3 linked regions of the Macaca fascicularis genome follow. The protein of the gene in region 1 binds, or shares a complex with, the protein of each later gene. Links are inferred from orthologs where the notes say so. Each region holds a gene or a part of one and is shown on either strand. Other genes may lie near its edges. The genes, in order: OBSL1, MYOM1 and CCDC8.

Evidence for each region.
Region 2: the proteins of OBSL1 (region 1) and MYOM1 are in contact, whole or in part, in a crystal structure (PDB 5FM5), measured with the Homo sapiens proteins. The link is inferred for Macaca fascicularis from reciprocal best matches to the Homo sapiens genes OBSL1 and MYOM1. Residues at the interface, in NP_056126.1 of Homo sapiens: Pro243, Lys253, Phe255, Val257, Asn258, Gly260, Lys261, His262, Ala263, Lys264, Phe265, Arg266, Cys267, Tyr268, Val269, Met270, Gly271, Lys272, Pro273, Pro275, Trp279, Lys305, Tyr308, Tyr317, Cys319, Ala321, Arg322, Asn323, Ser324, Ala325; in NP_003794.3 of Homo sapiens: Arg616, Pro617, Ser618, Ala619, Pro620, Trp621, Thr622, Gly623, Gln624, Ile625, Ile626, Val627, Thr628, Glu629, Glu630, Glu631, Pro632.
Region 3: OBSL1 (region 1) and CCDC8 share a complex: the UniProt entries of both Homo sapiens proteins name them as parts of the 3M complex. The link is inferred for Macaca fascicularis from reciprocal best matches to the Homo sapiens genes OBSL1 and CCDC8.

Annotation. Positions count from the first base shown.
Region 1 is NC_088386.1:115,501,941-115,505,685, forward strand, and holds the start of OBSL1 (obscurin-like protein 1), read right to left. Parts: upstream 2,153-3,745; 5' UTR 1,848-2,152; coding exon 836-1,847; intron 1-835. Other genes in the region: INHA (inhibin alpha chain), read left to right, coding at 2,715-2,810, 2,972-3,197. UniProt on the Homo sapiens protein: Core component of the 3M complex, a complex required to regulate microtubule dynamics and genome integrity. It is unclear how the 3M complex regulates microtubules, it could act by controlling the level of a microtubule stabilizer.
Region 2 is NC_088392.1:71,676,626-71,680,270, forward strand, and holds part of MYOM1 (myomesin-1), read right to left. Parts: intron 1,712-3,645; coding exon 1,548-1,711; intron 1-1,547. UniProt on the Homo sapiens protein: Major component of the vertebrate myofibrillar M band. Binds myosin, titin, and light meromyosin. This binding is dose dependent.
Region 3 is NC_088393.1:54,435,010-54,438,728, forward strand, and holds the start of CCDC8 (coiled-coil domain-containing protein 8), read right to left. Parts: upstream 2,884-3,719; 5' UTR 2,083-2,883; coding exon 442-2,082; 3' UTR 1-441. UniProt on the Homo sapiens protein: Core component of the 3M complex, a complex required to regulate microtubule dynamics and genome integrity. It is unclear how the 3M complex regulates microtubules, it could act by controlling the level of a microtubule stabilizer.

The sequences.
Region 1 (3,745 bases):
AGTGAAGGTATAATCCTTTGCATTGTGATGAAATCCTATTATGGGGAGCGTTACCTAATGGTGAGTTTGGGGTGTGCTTTTTTTTTTTCCCTTTGAATTTTCTGTTTATGAGAATGTAAGCGTTTATTGGATATTGTTGGTGATTCAACATTGAAATATAAACCTTCTCTCCTTCACCTTCCTCTTCTTGCAAACGTGGGGAGTAGTTTAATCAAAGAACAGTAAAAACACACAGGACATTTGTCCTCCCTTGTCTAGCTTTCTACTGAATCACTTGTTTCTCAAGGTGACAGACGCACCCAGGCTGTTCCCACAGGGTTCAGAGCCTGGACTCATGAATGCAGTCTTCACTTCAAATGCCTGTATTCAATAAAATAGCCTCCTTATTCTCACTGATGCTTTAGAAGTACCTGTTATACAAGCAGACTTAGCAATTTAGGCCCACAAAATACTCCTTTATCTGTCTCATATATTGGGACTCTGGTTGTGAATTCAGTTGGGGAAGGAGAAGTAAAATAACAAAGACGTTGAAAACCACTAGGGGAGAAGAGTTCTACCGCCCTCCAGGTTTGTACATCAATCACTCCTTAGTGGTGTTCCACCATCTGCCTCGGAATCTTTTGGGGAGTTTGCTAAGAAGTTCCTGAGTACCCGGGAGACCTAGTAAATCCGAATCCCTGGAGAGCGGGAGGCGGGCGGGTTTGATATTTTAATATTGCCGCGGACCTCCTCTCTTCCAGTCTTCGGGGCAGTGCTGCGCACCGAGGAGGGCTGGTGTTCGGAGGGCCTCGGAGGACACGAGAGGCCCCTCCCCAGGCCCCGGGCGCCGCCGTACCTTTCACGTGCAGCTGCACCGCGCTGAGCGTCTGGCCTGCCGAGTTGCGCGCGGCGCAGACGTAGAGCCCACGGTCCTTGGCCTGGCAGTAGAGCACCTTGAGCACGAAGCCGCCGTCGCGGTCGCGGTACATGAGGCGGCGGCGGTCCGGGAGCAGCGGGCGGCCCTCCCAGTGCCATTCGATCTCGGGCTCGGGCTTGCCCATCACGTAGCAGCGGAACTTGGCGTGCTTGCCCTCATTTACCCAGAAAGTCTTAGGAGCGCACTTGAGCGGCTCCACCACGGGCGCGGGGGCCTCGTCGGGGTCCGAGGGCGGGCTCTCAGGGGGCTGGTGCACCTGGAGCAGCGCCCCCGCCTGCGCGTGGCCGTGCGCGTTGCGGGCGTGGCACACGTAGACGCCGGAGTCCGGCAGCCGAGCTGCCAGGATGCGCAGCGCCAGGCTCGCGCCGGGGCCCTCCTCGGCGCGGCCGGGCTCGAGCGCGAAGTGGCTGCTGTCCCACACTTCGTCCAGGGCCATCCCGTCCTTCTCCCAGTACAGCGTGGGCTCAGGGAGGCCCCCCGCCCGGCACGTCAGCACCACCTCCACCCCCCTTAGCACCCACTGGGATCGGGGCCCCGTGAGGAAGACCGGGGCGCCCTCCCCGGACCCCGGCGGTGGCAGCGGGCGCTCGGCGGGCTGCGGCTCGGGCTCGGAGGCCGGTGGCTCCAGCACGGTGACAGCGGCCGCCGCGTAGGCCTCGCCCGCCGCGTTGCGGGCGCGGCACACGTAGACCCCGGCGTCGGTAGGCAGTGCGGTGCTCAGCAGCAGGCCGTGCTCCGCGCCGTCCGCCAGGAAACTCAGGCGTTCCGAGGCCGCCAGCTGCTGCCCGCCCTTCTCCCACACCACTACCGGTGGCGGCTCCCCCAGGACCACGCACTTGAGTTCCGCCTCGGCGCCACTTACCACCCGCACCGGCCGCGGGAAGCGCAGGAAGCACGGGGGGCTCCCCTGGTCCCCTGAGCTCGCCTTCATCGCAGCTGTCTCAGACCGCCTGCAGCGGCCAACGGGGAGGGTGGGCCGAGGGCGAGCAGAGGCCAGGGGCGGCGGGGCCGGGGCGCGGCTGCGGACCAGGCGCGGGTACCCGCGAAGCTCTCCCGGGCCTCCTGCTCCCGGCTCGCCTCCTTACCCTCGGCCCCAAGCTGCAGCTCTGCGGCGGCGGCGGCGATTCCCGGGCCGAAGCCTGGCGCTCAGGGGGCAGTCCTTCCTGTTTGCCTCTCCAGCGAGGGGCCCCGCAGCCTCTCCTGCCCGCTGCCTGGCTTCCTGCTCTTGGGAGCCTCTCTTCCCAGCCCCCTCCCACAGCTTGGGCCTCTTCCCCCTCCTCCCTCCCACCTCCAGCCGCCAGGTCCCTAGCCTCCCGCCAGGCTTGGGCCTGAGTGGCAGAGGCGCCTGCAGCTGCCAATCCCAAAAATATTCTCTGATGACACAGCTGGAGGACAAGAGCCCAGACTGGCTCCACTGGGCTAAGTATAGAGCAGGCAGGACCACCTGCCCCCGGCCCTAGCCCCGGTTCTAGCCCCGGCTCCAGCCCTTCCCCCAAGGGCTGGCCGGCCCAGCAGCTGCTTATTGAAAGGGGCCCCAGAAGGTCTGAGGGGTGGTGCACTGTGTCTCCCTGACAAATGACACTTTCCGGGGCTGGCCGGCTGCAGCTCCCAGGCTCCTGTCCCACCTGATGTAAACCTCTGGATGTGTGTGTGTGTGTGAGAGAGTGCGTGTGTGCGTGTGTGTGTGTGTGTGTAGGAGAAGGGGTTGTAATGTTTGCTTGTATGAGTCAGGTCGCTTGGGGCGAAATCCTCCCCAGTCCCTCCCCAACATCCCTGGCGGGAGTGGGAGATAAGGCTCATGGCCACAGACATCTGCGTCAGAGATAGGAGGTTTCAATGCCACGGGCAGGGGCAACTCGGACTGTGGGGCGTGGAAAGGACTGGAGAAGACTGGGTGAGAAGGGTAGAAGAGGGTGGGTGTGGGATGGGGAGAGTGGAGCTGCCCTGGGCAGACCCTGGCAGAAAGGGCACGGGGGAGGGTGTGGGTTCCCCGCTAGCAGGGCCAGGTGAGCTATGGTGCTGCCCCTACTGCTCTTCTTGCTGCTGGCCCCACAGGGTGGTCACAGCTGCCAAGGGCCGGAGCTGGCCCGGGAGCTTGTTCTGGCCAAGGTGAGGGCCCTGTTCCTGGATGCCTTGGGGTCCCCCGTGGTGACCAGGGAAGGTGGGGACCCTGGAGTCAGGCGGCTGCTCCGAAGACATGCCCTGGGGGGCTTCACACGCAGGGGCTCTGAGCCCACGGAGGAGGAGGATGTCTCCCAGGCCATCCTTTTCCCAGCCACAGGTAACGAGGTGGGGGAACTGGCAGGGTGACTTTGAGAAGCAGCAAGGCACAGCATGGGTTTGCGGGCCAGGTGGACCTGGGTTTGAATCCCAGCCCTACCACTCAGTGGCTTTGCAACAATAGGCCAGTTATTAAACCTCCTTATGCCTCTTGTCTCCCAATCTGTAAAATGCGTGATAACGCCAACCTCTCAGGATTAAGTGAGAGGCTGTACCTAGAGTGCATGGCAGGTGGGAGGCATTTGGGAGGTATGCGCTGGGAGACCAGGGGTCTCTAGAGATGGAGATGTCTGGGCTTGGGCCCCTTCCTGCCACCTTTCCTCCTATCTCTGCCTCTGCTCGCTGCTCCAGACCCTGTTTCTTTACTCCCAGGTAGCTGAGACTGAGAAGCTATCAGAGATACAGGCAAAAGATTAGTTGGGAAACTTTTCTGGAAAACTAGTCTATCTTCTCTTGAGTTCCTGTCTCGACATATGTGCGTCCCCTTGTTTCACTGACTGGATGGATAAGCCCTCCTCCGGGTGGGCTTTCTTGTCATCTGGTCCACCT
Region 2 (3,645 bases), on another chromosome or scaffold:
AAAAAGGATTTCAGAGTGGGGTAGTTAAATAAGCTTTGGTGGACCAGAGAGTAAAAATAACATTTTAAAAATTTTAACTTTTTCCACCCCCTTACTGCCTCCCTTTTTCGGTTGTGTTTCACACTGTCAGACGGAGAGTGGAAGAAATCCCCGGTCGCCGTGCGCTGGTGACGCAGGCCAAGTGTGTCCTAGAAAGCCTGCGTCCCTCTGGGCCGGCTGCTCCCGTTACTGTGGGTCCTGCGGAGAGTCCTTCTAGTCACCGTGAGTGGGTGCGGTGAAGACAAGGGGATTCAGCCCCAAAAACACTCAAAGCAGGGCTGAAGGGCTACGCTCTAAATGACGAATCTGCTCTCTGAGGTTGAAAGAACCTGAGTTACTGAATATTGAGGTTGTATTTATTTATTTATTTATTTTTATTTTTTATTTTTTGACAGAGTCTCGCTCTGTAGCCCAGGCTGGAGTACAGTGGCGCAATCTCGAATCATGGCAACCTCTGCCACTTGGGCTCAAATGATTCTCCTACCTCAGCCTCCCGAGTAGCTGTAACAGGCATGTGCCACCACAGCCAGCTAATTTTTATATTTTTAGTAGAGACGGGTTTCACCATGTTGGTCAGGCTAGTCTCGAACTCCTGACCTCAGGTGATCCACCTGCCTCAGCCTCCCAAAGTGCTAGGATTACAGGTGTGAGCTACCATGCCCACCTGAGGTTGTATTTTAAAATGAAGGAGTAGAGGAAAAGTCAGTCCACAGCTGTCTTTATTAACTTTAACACAGTATAGACTATTTTATTTTATTTATTTTTAATTTTTTTAGAGACAGAATCTTGCTCTGTTGCCCAGGCTGGAGTATAGCAGTGTGATCTTGGCTCACAGCAGCCTCAACCTCCTGGACCCAAGTGATCATCCTAGCTCAGCCTCCTGAGCAGTAGGGATTATAGGTATAAGCCACCACGCCACCACACCTGGCTAATTTCTTAAAATTTTATTTTTGAAGAGCTGGGGTCTCACTATATTGCCCAGACTGGTCTTAAATTCCTGGCCTCAAGTGATCCTCCCACATTGGCCTCCCAGAGTGCTAGGATTAAAGGCCACCATACCAGCAGACTATTTTACTTTTGTAAGAAAGAATAGGATGAAGAGTATAGTTCTGGGAAAGGGAGAAATGGCCCAGTATTTTTTAACTTTTTACTTATAACTGAGTATTTTTTATTATTTATTTATTTATATATTTTATAGAAACGGGGTTTCGCTATATTGCTCCAGGCTGGCTGGTCTTGAACTCCTGGGCTCAACTGATTCGCCTGCCTCCCAAAGTAGCTGGGACTACAGGTGTGTGCCACTTTGCCCAGCTACTTTTTTTTTTAGAGATGAGGTTTCACTATGCTGCCCAGGTTTGTCTTGAACTCCTGACTTCAAGCCATCCTCCTGCCTTGGCCTCTCAAGGTGTTGGGATTACAGGCATGAGCCACCATGCCCAGCTCCCTTCATTTCTTTTAAAAGGCTCATTCATCCAGAGTAAATTTGAATCTGCAAAATATCTGTTTACCTTGTCCAGAAAGATCCACTGTCTTCTGATGTCCAGTTTTGCCATCAAAGAGCTCCATGACGTACTTCCCTTTGTCATTCGGGGTGGGCTCATTGATTTGTAGCCAGATCTGCTCTCCAGTGACCCCGGTCTTAACTCTGTCTGAGTACCTAATGGCGGCCCCACTGTGAAAACCGAAGAAAACTTCCTTAGCGTTTGCTTCCATCCAGGGCTGATCTTGACTTTGTCTCTTATTGAAGCTCTTGCCGTAAAGTTTTATAGGCTTGCAAAAAGCGAGGGATCTGCATATGTTATTCTTCTGCTTCAGAAAAATTATGGGCCATGACACACAGAACTGGGATTCCAAGGCCCAAGTTCTGACGGTCGGAATATTTATTTATTAATAACTCCTCATAGCAGTCTGAGGCCCAGGGCAAATCACAATACTAATACTTCTCAGTGGTATTATTATCTTTGTTTTAGTTTGGATTTATTTGTAGGACTAGGGTAATCTATAAAGCTAAAAGGCCAAACTACATATTATTTTACTGTATATTTCATCTAGATAATCTATGGCTGTAAATCAGATTTCACAAGCTAGTCCAAAAACAACACTTATGGAGGCTCAAGTGGTTGACTAGACCAAATAATTAAGATGCTTATGCTTTGCTGGTCTAATAGCAATTTCCTCAAAACATCCTTTCAGTGTTCTCATTTTTGAACAAGTAATTCTTTTAGAGAAGATATAAAGCTTTTTGATTGATGATTCAATGAATTTTACTTCTCTGACACTTCAGACTGGTATATTAGAATGTCCTAGATGTCACAGAGGAATTTCCTGGAATTTGATCTATTTTAGCTTATAATTACTTTCCTAAAATGTATTCTGAAAGAAACAGAACAAAGGAATAAGCCCCAACATTCGACACTGGAATTTCACCAATTCTCATTTTTATGACTCAGTTAATAATAAATCATAATACTAGCGAAAACACTGTTTTACATAACAGTAAAGTCATCTTAAAGAAAACACAAATGGCTGCTTTGCGGCACCTGGCTCTGGCTAACTGTTCAATCTAGCCCAGTGGGCCCCAACCTTTTTGTCACTAGGGACCGGTTTCGTGGAAGACAATTTTTCCACAGACCAGGTAGGGGGAGGGTTTCGGGATGACTCAAGCACATAACATTGATCATCAGATTCTCACACGGAGCGTACAACCTAGATCCCTCACATGCGCGGTCCACAATAGGGTTCGCGCTCCTGTGAGGATCTAATGCCGCAGCTGATCTGACAGGAGGCGGAGCTCAGGTGGTCATGCTCGCTCCCTCGCTCACCACTCACCGCCTGTTACATGGCCCAGTTCCTAGTAGGCCACGGACTGGTACCTGTCTATGGCCTGGGGTTTGGGGACCTCTAGTCTAGACTTCACGCAGCTGGAATCCAGTGGTAGGTAGTGCCATGATGAACCGGGCTCTGGAGCCAGGCTGCCTAGGCTCAGCCTTGACCCACCTCTTAGCTGTGTGACCTTAGGCAGGTCACCTCCCCGAGCCCTAGCTTCCTCATCCCTCAAGGGAGGAGCACCTCCCACGCAGAGTGGTGAATGTGAAATGAATTCACATACGTAAAGGGCTTTCAGCAGCGACCCCCATACTGTCAATGCCACTGAGGGTACAGGGTGGGGAAACTTACTATCTGTACCCTCCTGGGGATGCCACGGGACCTTCTTCTCAGTGGGGCTCCTAGGAACATTTGCACTTTGGAACATTTGCATCCTGAGGTTGGACTGAAGGTGGCTACACTCCATCAGATTATCTATGCCAGGCCTCGGTTCTCTTTCAGCTCAGGATATTTCAAGGAAGCACGGAGGTTAAGGACACTGTCAAGAGTGTAAACGGGAGGCCTGGTTTGATTTGGAAACTGATTTCAGCTCTTGGAATCCCGGAAGCTAACTTGAATAGAGTCCCTGTATAACTGCACGGAGGTTCAAACCCATCTTCCCCAAAGTCGCCTTGAGCTCTCCAAAGCCTTCTGAGGGTGGACCAGAAACATGCTAATGTCTCACTCTGCCAGGCGCTATAACATCAACAACAATAATCTTGGGCACTCATTGGATTAGGC
Region 3 (3,719 bases), on another chromosome or scaffold:
CTATAGGTGACAGAACCCCCTTGTATCGAATTCTTTCTTTACATTTTTTGGGTTGCTACAAGGAATCAGTATATATATGTGTGTGTGTGTGTGTGTGTATATATATATATATATATTTTATCAGGTGGTACGTGTGGTGGCTCACACCTGTCATCCCAGCACTTTGGGAGGCCGAGGCAGGAGGATCAGTTGAGGCCAGAAGTTTGAGGCTGCAGTGATCATGCCACTGCACTCCAGCCTGGGCAACAGAGTGAGACCCTGTCTCTAAAAAATTTTTTAAAAATCAACGCATGAGACAAAACTTTAACAAGAGAATAAAGAGGGTTGTAAGGTGGAGATGTGGGCAGCACTCCAACTCCACTTTCAAGTTCAGAGGCAGAAAGAGCAACTTTCTCTCCCACGCTTGTAGGGAGGGCCCGTGGGCTGTCTCTAGCCCTCACCTCACAGCTGGTCTTCTCGCTCTCCCTGTTCAGCTTCTGCTTTGGCCTCGGCCCTCAGCACCCTGAGGCTCCTGGCCTCGCCTGCCCTGGGGACTCTCTTGGGCAGGGTTGGCAACCGGGGAGTGTGCCAGAAGGCTCTCCGGGGCTTGCGAAACCACGAAAAGCGTCCAGGGGTCTGGAACCTCACTGTCTTGACCTGTTTCCGGGCCCTGGCTCCTGAAGCTGTTCCTGTGGCCCCTTGGGCAGCTGAGGCTTCAGCTTCCTGGATACCTGGGGCCCCTGCCCTCTGATTATGTGCAGCCTCTGCCCTTTGGCCAGCCCGGGCCTGTGCCCTCTGATTACCTGCACGCTGGACAGCTGGGGCCCTTTCCCTCTGGTCATGTATGGCCTCTTCCCTTTGAGGATCTGTAGCCTCTGACCCCTGGTCAGCTAGAGCCTCTTCCCTCAGGTTATCTGCACCCTGTGGCCTATGGTCAGCTGGGGCCTCTGCCCTCTGATTATCTGCAGCCTCTTCCCCATGGTTATCTGCAGCCTCTGCCCCCTGGTCAGCTGGGGCCCCTGCCCTCTGATTACCTGCAGCCTCTTCCCTCTGGTCAGCTATGGCCTCTTCCCTCTGATTATCTGCAGCCTCTTCCCTATGGTTATCTGCATCCTCTGCCCCCTGGTCAGCTGGGGCCCCTGCCCTCTGATTACCTGCAGCCTCTTCCTCCTGGTCAGCTATGGCCTCTTCCCTCTGATTATCTGCAGCCTCTTCCCCCTGATCAGCCTCGATGTCTGCCCCCTGACCTGTGGGCGCTGTCTGCTCCTTCCTGCGGCGCCTAAACGAGGCCCAGTTGATCTTGGGCCTCCATCGCCTAGGGGAGGCCTGCGGGGCACAGACATCTCCCACATTTTCCACAGGATCCCCGGGATCCCCGGGGCTGGTGCCGGAGGATACCCCTGCGCTCTCCACTGGGATGGAGGCCAGCCGGGCCTCGCCCACCCCGGGGCCCGCCCTCGGCGCCCAACCCTTCACCCTCCGCTTCAGCTTCCCCCAGGACACCTGGCTGACATACTCCCGCCACCTGTCCGCCTTGGACAGCTGAGGCCCCAGGTTGTCCTCAAACATGGGCACTGGCAGGTTGACGCGGCGGCGGGCAGGCGGCGCGGGGGGCTGCTTCTCCTGTCGCCGGAGAAATGCCTCCACCAGTTCCTCATCATCCTCGCTCTCCACGTCGCTTCCCAGGAACTTGCTGCCCAGGTAGCTGACGGGCATTTTGCGCACCTTCTTGCCCCGCCGCGGGCCCTGGCGGCTCTTGTCTCTGGAGGTCTCGAAGTCGCTGAACTCGCTGTCGCTGGCGTTGCTGCTGTCATACGTGCCCACGACCAGCCGGGGCGTAGGAGTCACCATCTGCTGCACTCTCCTCCTCACTCGGGGCTCCTTGGGCTTTTTGGGGGGCTGGGGCGGGTGCGGGGTGCTCTTCTCGATGATGCGGGCCACGTCCTCCAGGGTGCGGCCCTGTTCTTCCAGGAACTGGGTCAGCCGCTCCCGAAATTCTGCTTCCTTGGTGGCAGGCTTAGAGATGACTCTCCAGACGCCCCCGGCCAGCCTGACCTCCCGGGGGATGAGCAAATAGTCGACGTCCTCCCCGATCTGCAGCATCCCCACCGTGGAGTCCTCCTCCTTGCGGAACACCTTGCCGATCTTCTTAAATGTTCCCACGGGTTTTAGGGCTTCCACGAGGACGTCCAAATCCACATCTTTGCAGACATCGGGGACGCTCCAAAGAATGAGGCAGTCGGGGGACGGGAGGAAGCCCCAGGGGAACCAGCCCCCCACGTGGCTTTTCTCGAGAGTCTTTAAGATCTCCAGGGTGATATCTGGGGTGAGGGAGCAAAGAGCCCCAACAAACTACTGTAGCCCTTAGTCTTGAGGGAGGGACTGGATGGGGGGAGTCCCAGCAACGCTGACCGCAGAGTCTCACCTCCCCAGCCAGGGACGAGTCAACGCCTCCAATCTCTTCTCCTGCAACAAGTCCAGTCTTGACCAAGTCCGGCTCCTCCACCAAGGACTTGGGAGAATCAATTTCCAGGATGCCTACGTGAGCCGGGGGCGAGGTCAGTCCCAAGGTTCAAGGCCCACTCCAAGCTGGAAACGTGGTGTCCCGGCTCCAAGTTGGGGCGCGCGGGCTGCCAGCGATTCTTCCTGCCCCAGGCCCCTGGGACGCGGTTGGAACTTGGGAGAGGACTTCGCAGACAAAGACGGTCCAGTCGAGGCTATTCAATATGGCGGAGGCGCTGAGAGGCCTCAGCCCGGCCCCCCAGTAGGGTCCCCCGCCCCCAGGCAGGCCACCACCCAGCTCCAGGCTGACCTTGACGCGCCGCAGCCTGCCAGCCCGCGCGCTTAGGGCTCTGCACGGTGGAGCGCACCAGCAGGAAGTTCCTCCTTGCCCTCCGCCAGAATGAGGCCCACCTTCCCCCGTCTCATCTTACACTCCCAGACTCTGGAAGACTGACAGGGGGGCTGTCCACTCTCTTCGGGGCAGCCTCCTTCCCCTCCCCCACAGGGGTGTGGCCGCGCCTGGGGCCTAGCTGGGCCCATTGCTTCCCAGCGAAGCGGCGGTGGCCCACGTCAGCACCTTTGCTGAAAGGCAGCGGTTCCCAAACCTGCCATCCGAAATGTACAAGTTTCCAGCCAAGTCCTGGAGGTGGGTGTGCCAGTGGATTCTACCTTTTGAGAGCCACTGGCACCATAGATTAGCATTTTAAATTCACGCGACTATCCGTACCCGTACACCCAGACGCGTGGGTAGAGAAATGGGTACCGGGATCTTATTGCAACAGTCCCCCTGTGACGCTTGGCAGGAGGTCAGGGCTCTACATATTTTTGAGTGGATGAATAAACCTGAATGTTCATAGCCAGGCGCGGTGGCTCATGCCTGTAATCCCAGCACTTTGGGAGGCCTAGGCGGGTGGAACACTTGGAGGCCAGGAGTTCGAGACCAGCCTGGCCAACATGGTGAAACCCTCGTCTCTACAAAAAATACAAAAATTAGCCGGGTGTGGTGGTGTGCGTGTGTAGTCCCAGCTACACGGGAGGCTGAGGCAGGAGAATGGCATGAACCCGGGAGGTGGAGGTTGCAGAGATGGCGCCACTGCACTCCAGCCTGGGCAACAGAGGGAGACTCTGTCTCAAAAAAACAAAAACAAAAAAAAAAAAAAAAAAAAAAAAAAAACAAAAAACAAAACCAAAAAAACCCCACAAATAAACAACAACAAAAAAGCCTAAAAGTTCATGAG